Linked DNA regions of Rattus norvegicus. The protein of the gene in region 1 interacts with the protein of each later gene in a pairwise test. Links are inferred from orthologs where the notes say so. Each region holds a gene or a part of one and is shown on either strand. Other genes may lie near its edges. The genes, in order: Kifc3, Trim54 and Cby2.

Evidence for each region.
Region 2: the proteins of Kifc3 (region 1) and Trim54 interact in binary tests that used the Homo sapiens proteins (3 or more experiments, as listed by UniProt). The two-hybrid records come from large-scale screens. The link is inferred for Rattus norvegicus from reciprocal best matches to the Homo sapiens genes KIFC3 and TRIM54.
Region 3: the proteins of Kifc3 (region 1) and Cby2 interact in binary tests that used the Homo sapiens proteins (3 or more experiments, as listed by UniProt). The two-hybrid records come from large-scale screens. The link is inferred for Rattus norvegicus from reciprocal best matches to the Homo sapiens genes KIFC3 and CBY2.

What each region holds. Positions count from the first base shown.
Region 1 is NC_086037.1:9,829,905-9,833,657, forward strand, and holds the start of Kifc3 (kinesin-like protein KIFC3), read left to right. Parts: upstream 1-1,254; 5' UTR 1,255-1,363; coding exon 1,364-1,474; intron 1,475-3,753. UniProt on the Homo sapiens protein: Minus-end microtubule-dependent motor protein. Involved in apically targeted transport. Required for zonula adherens maintenance.
Region 2 is NC_086024.1:30,961,430-30,965,082, reverse strand, and holds part of Trim54 (tripartite motif-containing protein 54), read left to right. Parts: coding exon 1-114; intron 115-1,846; coding exon 1,847-1,942; intron 1,943-3,653. UniProt on the Homo sapiens protein: May bind and stabilize microtubules during myotubes formation.
Region 3 is NC_086033.1:57,318,201-57,321,336, forward strand, and holds the end of Cby2 (protein chibby homolog 2), read right to left. Parts: intron 1,977-3,136; coding exon 789-1,976; 3' UTR 620-788; downstream 1-619.

The DNA.
Region 1 (3,753 bases):
TCTTTCTTTTTCTTTTCTTCTTTCTTTCTTTCTTTTTCTTTTCTTTTCTTCTTTCTTTCTTTTTCTTTTCTCTTTCTTTCTTTTTGTTTTTCATGACAGGGTTCTCTGTATAACTCTGGCTCTCCTGGAACTAGCCTGTAAACCAGACTGGCCTCAAACTCACAGAGATCTGCCTATAGACGTACAGTACACCATCACTGCCCAGTGTAAAACAAAAATTTTAAAATAGTCTAGCGTGGCGACTCACACCTTTAATTCTAGCCAGCACGTGTGAAGCTGAGGCAGATGGATTAGAGTGAGTTGGTGGCTAGCCTGGACTACATAGTTCTAGTTCAATTTGAGCTTCGGTGTGAGAGCCTGTCTCATCAAACCAAAATAACAAACATAGATAAAATAGAAGCAACGATCAGGTAACTTTAGCTTTGCATGATACTCGAAAAAAATTAAGAATATAAGGCGAGGGCTGGAGAGATGGCTCAGCGGTTAAGAGCACCCGACTGCTCTTCCAGAGGTCCTGAGTTCAATTCCCAGCAACCACATGGTGGCTCACAACCATCTGTAAAGAGATCTGATGCCCTCTTCTGGTGTATCTGAAGACAGCTACAGTGTACTTATAGATAATAAATGAATAAATCTTTAAAAAAAAAAAAGAATATAAGGCGAGGGTGGTAGAAAGTCACCCTCTCTTAAGAAATAAAGCAAGAGGGCCACACAAGCACAGCGTAGATACACTGTTAGGACAGAGGTGATTGCAAACAGCTATGAGAAGAATTTGGGACTTGTTTTTAATGTTGATGAGGACGGAGCCCAGGACCCCACCTATACCAGACCCGTGGTCTGTTCAGAACCATGTACCCATTATGTGCAATAGGATTTTAAAAGGAAGGGTTTTGGGTTTGTTTCTGTTTATTGCCAGAAGGTCTTAACTCACTATTTAGCCCAAGCTGGCCTTGAAGTTGGTTCTCCCCCCCCCCCCCCCCGGAGCTGGGGACGGAACCCAGGGCCTTGCGCTTCCTAGGCAAGCACTCTACCACTGAGCTAAATCCCCAACCCCTGGCCTTGAATTTGGAATCCTCCTGCTTTAGCCCCTTGAGTGTCAAGAGTAGGACGATTTTTGGTGAGACAACACTAGACACTGAAAGACAAGGTTTTTTTGTGGGCTCCAAACAGTGTGTTCCAGCATGTTCGTGTTGGGCAGTACTTTTTGAAGGCTTGGTTCGTGGGCAGCTGGTTGTGACTGATAACTAAAGGACACTGGGCAGGAGGAGGGGATGGCTGCCGAGCCTCCAGGGAGGTGTTCGCTTAGGAATTTGTACTTTAGCCCGAAGGCTGTGGGGCACTAGGGAAGGAAGCTGGCTCGGGAATGTCTTGGGCTGAGCTGCTGTTCGGAGAAGGGACCCTGGCAGCCTTCTGGAGATCCAGAGACAAAGATGAGCCAGAAGTGGAGACTGGGATCACCACGCAGCAGAATAAGGTGAGGACCAGGGCTGAGGGACAGTGGGAAGGAGGGGGAAGGCAGAGAGAGGTTTCAGGTAAGACGGGTTTCTCTGGCTAGAGGATCGAGATGCTTCTGGGGTTCAAGTTACTACCAAGACAGGAAAAGAAAAATGGTGTTAACTAAGTGTCTGTGTTTTGGGACTAAGATTTCAGAAATTGCCTCTTGGAGTTAACACGTACTTATTTGTGTATATACATGCTTACGCACACGCAGGACCACACGTGTGGACGTGTGTTCCATTGGTAGGAGTCAGTTCTCTCCTTCCACTACGTGGGACAGGAGGACCCAACTCAGTTCTTATTCCTGGAGACAGGTGTTCCTGAGTCATTTCATGGCCCCTGGAAATGCCTTCTGGCATGACATTCCAAATGGATGTACACCAAGTACTCTTGGGTAATAACCTCTCAACTAAAGGGGCTCACTCTAGAATACTCCCCAGCCCTACTCCACCCACAGCATTAATTAGAGTTATAGGTAGACCCCTCACACCCCCAGGCCTGAGAACCTAGGGAAGTGATAGATCTGTCTGCCCAGCATACACAAGCTCTGGGTTCCATTCCTGGCACCACGGCTCCCCAAACCGATAACCTCCCCTCCCCATCTTCATGGTCATCCTCTTCTAGAATACGACACTAATATTTTCCTTTCTTTTTGTGAGGTGCCGGGGATAACTCAAGGCCTGTACCTACTAGGCAGGTACCCTACCACTGGGCTAAACTTCCTAGACCCCTGTCTTTTGTTTGTTCCTTCCTTCCTTCCTTTCATTCATTCATTTTTTTTGACAGTCTCACTATGTAGCTCTGGCTAGCCTGGACTCACCATGTATACCAGGCTGCCCTAGAACTCACGGAGATCCACCTGTCCCTCCAGAATTGGGATTAAAGACATTCACCAGCACGCCCAGCCCCAGTGTATTTAGTTATCCTAATGCTGCTGCCCTCGGAATCCTCTTCCTCTGGCTGACGCACTGATAAGGCTCAGGACATTCTTTCTCTCTCCTTGGCCCACAGTCATGGCGAACAGTCTGAAGTGGCCTTCATGCTAGGCAGCTAGGCTACCCTTGCGCTGGATGGACAGAATGTCCTGGGAATGAAGAAGGAGGGCTCTTTGGGGATGGCCCTGGAAACCTAGAAGTATTTGCCAATGCAGAATGCCCTGTTTCCTTTGGGCCAGGTGTCACACTGATTTAACCCATCAGAAGGTTACTTTGTATCTCAAACTAAAACTTCTGCAAACTGAATAGAAGTGTGATGATGAGTCGGGGAAGCTGGGGCAAAATGCTGTCCCTTTGCATGTTTGAAGCTCCCGGGTGGATTTGCTCGAGTCGTGCAGGCTTCTGAACCTGTTTGGTGTTTTCCGAAAGAGCTGCTGTTCACTTCTGCTTGTTCGTTTTGTGGTTTTGCCTTGCTCTGTTTGTGACGGAGCCCAGGCTGGCCTTGAACTCACCACATATAGCCCAATCTGGCTGCCACGTTTCCGTCCCCCTGTCTCATGTATAGGCATGGGTCAGCATTTTTCTCTCTCCTTGGGCTTGCATTTTTCGGGGCTTGCAGTATGCCAGGACAGTTGATCCCGGCTCCCATGGAGCCTCCAGAGTGGGAACAAGAACTCAGGTGACAGGATAGGACCTCAGGACAGGTTCTTCCCTGGGACTAGGGAGCCACTTCTGAATTCATGCCTGAATCCAATAAGCACTTAGTAGATAGGGATGGCGAGAAAGGCCCTTCAGAGGGGCTGGGGGGATGCTGGGATGCCTCCCCACACCTCTCTCTCTGAGACAGGGTTTCTCTGTGTAGCCCTGACTATCCTGGAGCTCGATCTGTGACCAGGCTGGCCTCAAATGCACAGATCCACCTGCCTCTGCCTCCTGAGTGCTGGGATTAGAGGCCTGTGCCACCACCATGTGGCAAGGGGATGCCTCTTTAGCTGAGCTCTGAAGGGTGGAAGAGCTGCCAGGCACAGGCAGGCATGAGGAGAACCACCCTGCCTGCCGGATCTGCTTCCAGAACCCCAGCTACCTTTTCCTCATGTAAGCACAGACTGCCAACCAACACTTCAGCTTCCTGAACCATTTCACCTTTAAGAAAAAAAAATGATTTCCTGCCCATGGGACCCCTTGCCCTTCTGGCTTGCAGTTTCCTGGGGAGCACTGGCCCTGGCCAACTGTATCTGATTTACTACAGGACTGGGAACCTGTCCTGCCCAGTGCTGTAAAGAGGATTGGGGTTCCGTGACAAAGGGGAATTCTACGTAAG
Region 2 (3,653 bases), on another chromosome or scaffold:
ATTAACATCTACTGTCTGAGCTGTGAGGTGCCCACCTGCTCTCTCTGCAAGGTCTTTGGCGCCCACAAGGACTGTGAGGTGGCCCCTCTGCCCACCATTTACAAACGCCAGAAGGTATGTACTCAGGGAGGGATGGGAAGGGGGTTGGACAGGGCAGTTCTCACTGTACTTAGGTAAGGGGTAGCTGAGCAGGGCAAATCCCCAGCTCTGGTCCTGACTCTGCACATGACCCTGAGGCAATTGCCTGACCTCGCTGGCCTTGCCTGCCTTCTCTGGACAGGCGAGGTGAAGACATAGTTGCTGTCGTCACAGCATCAGCTAATTAATACCTGACGGGAGCCACTTCAGGACCGTATCCACCAAAGGACCAGATGCCCTCAAGAGTGTGAAACCACACAGCTAGCTTCTAGATATGCACGGTTTTAAGATCACAGTAGCTGGCCTCTGAGAAGAGAAGGGCATCCTAGGAGGGGTTGGGAGGGCAGGGCCAGAGAAGTCCTGTAGACAGGAGAGATGCCACTCCTCAGATGACCAATGCTGGCACAGTTCTGGCTAGAGATGGAGGCTGTGCCACAAAACCTGCAAAACGTGTACAGGTAGAGGTGTGTTTGAGTCCCCAAACATCAGCTGGGGTTGAAGTCCCAGGATATCAAGGCAGTCAGCTGTGTCACCTGGCTTTTGACAAACAAATGCAAGTGTCAAGCTGGAGGAAAATACCTTCAGTGCAGGCCCTTAGATTAGGATCAATGCCACAATCTCTCTCAACGGAAGACACACAGAGAAATGGACCACATGAGTGAAGTTATCAGAAACAGTGACACTGGGGCTGGGGATTTAGCTCAGTGGTAGAGCACTTACCTAGGAAGCGCAAAGCCCTGGGTTCGGTCCCCAGCTCAAAAAAAAAAAAAAAAAAAGAAAGAAACAGTGACACTGTGAACCCTCAGGGAATTCAAAAGCTGATATTGAGAACGGAAACTTGCTATGTACACGGTGTTTTTAGAAGATAGAATAATGTCAGGTGTGGTCGAGCACTCAGGATGCTGTGTGGCCAGCCTGGGCTACATAAAGAGTTCCAAGTCAGCCTGGGCTGTATAAGGAAAGACCCTGTTTTAAAGAAAAATAAAGATGAAATAAAACAACGATAACAACAATAACGAAAGGTGGAATTGGAGATATAGGACACTTGCCTTAGCACAAAGCCCTAGATAGATTCCCAGACCTGAAACAGACGTATAAAATGACCATGTAACAGCAGCGGCCTGTTGTGGTGATGTACACTGTAATCTCAGTGACTAGGGAGGCCAAGGAAAGAGGATATCAGATTCAAAGCCAGTGTAGATAATATAGAAAGGCCCAATCAAAGAAAAACCCAAACCAAAACACAGGGAAAATAGATCTGAGAAAGAACTGAGTGGAAGCTAATAACTGTGGGAAAATCAGTAGACGGACCAAGTGATGGATTTCTCAGAAGAATCACTGAATGGAGGAAGAGTACAAACAGGCAAACAAGTGAAAAGGACAAACAAAAAATAGAATGCAGTAGCACCAGGAAGTGGCAGGTGGAGAATGGGAAAGCGGACACAGTCCTATTGGACTCCCAGAAGGACATGAATAGAAGGGAGCAGTGTTGTCTGAGTGGGTAGCCCCAAGACCTCCAGAATTAATGAAAGCTGTGACCCTGCTCATGAAGCATCTAGCCCAGAGTATGGTACATGGTGGGTGTCTAGATAGTGTCACCTCCCCAGCCCTCTAGATCGTTGCAGATGTCCCCAAATGATCCAGGTGGGACGAGAGGGGTTGGGGCTGGGACTTCCAGCTCTAACGCTGGCCCATGTGTGTGTGACAGAGTGAGCTGAGTGACGGCATCGCGATGCTGGTGGCAGGCAACGACCGTGTGCAGGCAGTGATCACGCAGATGGAGGAGGTGTGCCAGACCATTGAGGTAAGCTCGGGCTGGCAGGACAGAGGGGACAAAGTGGTCCGTTCAGAGTCTCCGAGATACACAGAGAAGAGTTCTTTGACTTCTGGTCAGGCTGGTCAAAAAGTTTCCAGACTCTAGCTCATGGTGGGTTGTTTTTAACCAGCTTGCTCCTGGCACCCAGCAGCTCTGTAACGTTGGTCACATTATTTCCCTTTCCCAGGCTTTCATTTTGTTTGTTTTTTTGCTATATTACATGGTGATGACCAGAGGGATGGAGGTAGGATGATAGCAAGTTCCAGGCCAGCCTAAGAGAATTATGGAAATCCTATTTCTAAATAAACTAAATAGGAGACTGAAGGAACGGCCATTCAGAGCCTACCCCACATGTATGTGATATATATATATCATATAAGTATATATATGATATATATATATGCCACCAAAACTAGATAAGATTGATGAAGCTAAAAAGTGCATGCTGAAAGGGACCGGATATAGATCTTTCCTGAGAGACACATCCAGAGCATGTCCAATACAGAGGTCAATGCCAGCAGCAAAACACCGAACTGAGAACAGGACCCCTTGTGGGGAATTAGAGGAAGGATTGAAAGAGCTGAAGGGGTTTGCAACCCCATAAAAACAATAGTGCTTGGGGCTGGGGATTTAGCTCAGTGGTAGAGCGCTTACCTAGGAAGCGCAAGGCCCTGAGTTCGGTCCCCAGCTCCGAAAAAAAGAACCAAAAAAAAAAAAAAAACAAACAAACAAAAAAAAACAAAACAAAAAAAACCAACAGTGCCAACCAACCAGAGCACCCAAGGACTAAACCACTACCGAAAGACTATACATGGATTGGCCCAGGGCTCCAACTGCATATGTAGCAGAGAATAGCCTTGTTAGAGCACCAGTGGAAGGGGAAGCCCTTGGTCCTGCCAAGGTTGGACCCCCAGTGCAGGGGAATGTGGGGGGGAGGGGGGTGGATTAGGGGGAACAACCATATGGGGGGAGGGGGAAGGGATGGGGTCTTATGGGCAGGAAACTGGGAAAGGGAATAACATTTGAAATGTAAATAAAGAAATATATCTAATAAAAAATAAAATTTCAAAAAAAATAAGTAAATAATTGAGCAGGGTGTGAGAGCCCCAAACTATAATGGCAGCACTCTGGAGGCTGAGACAGGGGGATGTCTCATTCAAGGCCCACTTGATCTTGTCTCGAAAATAAGTGGGACGGGAGAGACTGCCCAGTGATTGAGACAAGGTATTGCTACAGCAGATGACCAGAGTTCAGTTCCCAGCACCTGCACTGCAAGGTCAAAACTGCCTGTAACTCCCAGCTTAGAGAATTCAGTCCCTCTGACCTCTGATCGCCATGGGCAAATACACCAAGCACATCGTATACCCAATTGAAAATAATGCAAATAAAATTGTGGCAATAAATAAATAAGCAAAATAAAATGACATAAATGTGAGAGGCATGGGGAGGAGGGGTTTATAGAGGATGGAGGGAGAGAAAAGAGGCTGGGACGTGAGATTATATCAGTGTATATATTCATTTATCAATGAATACATTTAATTAAAATTATGTAATGAGAAACAATTACATACCTTATTATACATAGTTAACCAAACATATTTGAATATTGTGGCAATATTTCCAGTAAATTAATCCTAGAAATTTAGATTTATTGTTTTACTTTCGATTATGTGTGTTCCTGTGTGTCTGTGTATGGGCA
Region 3 (3,136 bases), on another chromosome or scaffold:
GCTCCCATGTCAGTTAGAGATGGTAGAGCCCATCACATGGATTCTAAGGATCCTGAGTGTCACAGTCAACATGCAAAGACGTCAGGAGAGGAGTGGGTTATGGTTCTTGGCTCATTTCCTAAAGAATGTAACCCGAGGATCCTAACTAGGGACTTCATGTGCTAATGACAAGTCCATGTGGATTCCCCAATTTTTGTAGATTTTGGTAGGGGGTATTGATGGGCAGCGGTCTACAGGAACTCTGGCTTTCAGCTCAATGTCATTCTAAAAAAAGTCGGCCTGTCGGTCTGTGGCCTGTGCCCCATCTCCTAACCCCTTGCATTTTGCAAAGCCATTTTTTTTTTACTATGTAGCCTAGATAAGCCTTAAGTTCACAATCCTCCTGCCTCAGCCTCCTGAGTCTTAAAAGAGTACAGAAATGTACCATGATAGCCAGTTAAGACTGAAGAAGGGGAGAGAAGGTACAGGGGCTGAAAGAAGAGAGAGGGGGACATGTTAATGAGATAGTTAATGAAGGAGGAGGGGCAGGAGGAGGGGGAGGAGGAGGAGGGACAGAGGGAAAGAGGTAAGACGTTAAAAGAGCAAGAAGGAAGGAGAAGGAGAAGCCATAACTCCACGGTGGTGTTGGCTGGCCCCAGCCTCCTCTGCCTTTATTGTGTCTCGGGTGGATGATGGCCCTTTCTCCGCTGTCCCACAGGCACGCACTGCTGGGCCAACACAAGGAAGACAAAGGAAGGTTGAGGATTCTCTCCGGCCTGGTCTTGGCGTCTATGTCCACTGCCGAGGCCTCAGACCCTGCTGGGCTTTTTGGGATCTTTGTTGTTCTTGGCCGGCATGAAGGCATACAACTCCTCAATAAGCATCTCCATACGAGCTGTGACCTCAGTCACCGTGTCGATGACCAGCCGCTGCTGCAGCTTCAGCTTGTTGTTCTCCCACAGGGCCTTGTTCTCCTCCTGGAAGACGCGATGCTCCTCACGCATGGCGTGGAGAGCCCTGTTCTCCTCCTGCAGCAGCCGGTTCTCCTCCCTCAGGGCCTGCAGTGCCTGATTCATCTCTCTCAGCAGCTGCAGGGGCTGAGCGCTGTCAGTTAGATTAGGGCCTGCCTTGCCCTCTTCTTCCCCAGATGGCCCGGACAAGTTGGTAACCATCTCCCTCAGGGCGCGCAGCGTCTTCGAGTCCTCCTGTGTTGTAGGGGACGCTTTGGGCTCCTCAAAGTGGGAGGAGTGGCTTGTGCTCTGATCTGGCAGAAGCCCTGAATTATGGGGTTCCTCCTTGGGTGAGGAGGTGGGCTTGCCCTCCTCAGCAGAAGTCGCACTCTCTTCTGCCTGTGCCCAGTAGGCCTGCCTCTGCTCCAGCAACTGCTGGAGGGCCCGGTTCTCCTCTCGAATGAACTGTAGGGTGTTCTCCTTGCTACGCTGGGCAGGCAAAGTGGCGTTGTCTTTCTTCACTACTTCCTGGGAGGTTGTGTCTTTGTGCAGCAGTGGCGAGGAGGTCTGACTCTCCTCGTGGCCCAAAGTGACCTTGTGCTCTTCCCAAAAGACCTGTAGAATCTTGTTCTCCTTGCGGAGGGCCTTGTTCTCATCCCTCAGAGCCCTGTTCTCATCCCGAAGAGACTTGTTCTCTTCCTGCAGCAGGTACTCCTTGGCCATCCTCTTGTGGTGCAGTTTATGGTGGAAGGAGGAGGAGGGAGAGAAGTAAGGTGACTGCAGGCGGCAGCTCTCGTTCACCCAACGCCCATCTTGGAAGACAAACATCTCGTCGCTAAGCTGCACTCGGGGAGGGTTGTAGTCTAGTTCCAGGTCGGCCTGGGAGGTGGGGCGCTCCATGGGGTCAAAGGGCATAGAGGAGAAGCGGTTGAGTGGGTAGGAGTGCTGGCTGGCTACCCTGCGGCTTATCCGGGGCATGGCAGCCTGCCTGGAGCAGCGAGGAGTGGTGTATAGGTTGTGGAGCCTCAGGAAGGGCTCCGTGCCCCTCTGTGGGAGGAAAAGCAGGGAAGCTGTTAATGGAGAAACTGTTAAGAGGACTGCTCAGGGTGGACTAAGAGGCCTGGAGACCCCCTCATATGACCTCCAGGGATCTTCACAAGGAAATATACCCAGCCTTTGCTATTCTGGGTAGCATTCTTCTGAATTAATGATCACGGAACCATGGTTCCTAGGGGGAAAAATGGGGCAGTTTCATCATAAAATTTCTGTCGACTGACCAGATAGAACACCGTGCTTCTGTTTAAAGACACTGTCATGGATACGCAGACTGACAGTGGGTGCATCATATACCATGAGCAGAGTTTATCTGACAAGCTCGCTCTTCGGGGCACAGCACAGACCGTGGTTATTAAGAAGAGTCTTTATTCGGTCCCCAGCTCCGAAAAAAAAGAACCAAAAAAAAAAAAAAAAAAGAAGAGTCTTTAACTGTATCTGTAGATGCCACTTTAAACGGTGAAGCCAACAAGGAGCACAAAAGTTTCAAAACCAAGCTGGCTTATAAACTGAAAACAAGACCCTTTGCCAGGATGAGTGTTCAAACAAGGGGGAGCACCCGAACCACAGTTCTTGGCCGCATACCCACATACAAACTCTGTAGATCCTAGAGAGACCACAAATACTCTATGAGCACTAAAGCTGGTGTAGTCAAAAGGTCCATACATTCAGTCATAACTATAAAACCTATAAATAATTAACCGTGCACTGGGCAGGCCTATAACCCCAGATACTCAGAGACAGTGTAGAAAGGAATATAAGCAGAACTTCCAGACCATACTGGATGCTTTCTATAGCAAGTCCCGACCAGGACTGCATAAAACAAGACCCTGTCTCAAAAAAGGAAAAGTCACACATAATAAGACCCAATCATGTGGCAGAAATGAAAGGTACTTGTTTTTTTTTTTTTCTTAACCTCTGGCCTTACCACTTATCAGTTATATGAATCTGGGCAAGTTGTGTGAATTCCAGTTTCTACAGTGTTAACCTGGGATAACTGCACCACCTTGAAGAAGGCATCAGATTTCTCAGAGTCGATGTTACAGGCATTTGCAGGAAGTCCAGCTGGTTATGTGGCCGCATTTTACCTGTATAATTCACTTAATCCTCATAGCGCTGGCAAGCGAAATACTATTTTAGCTTGAACATCCCTA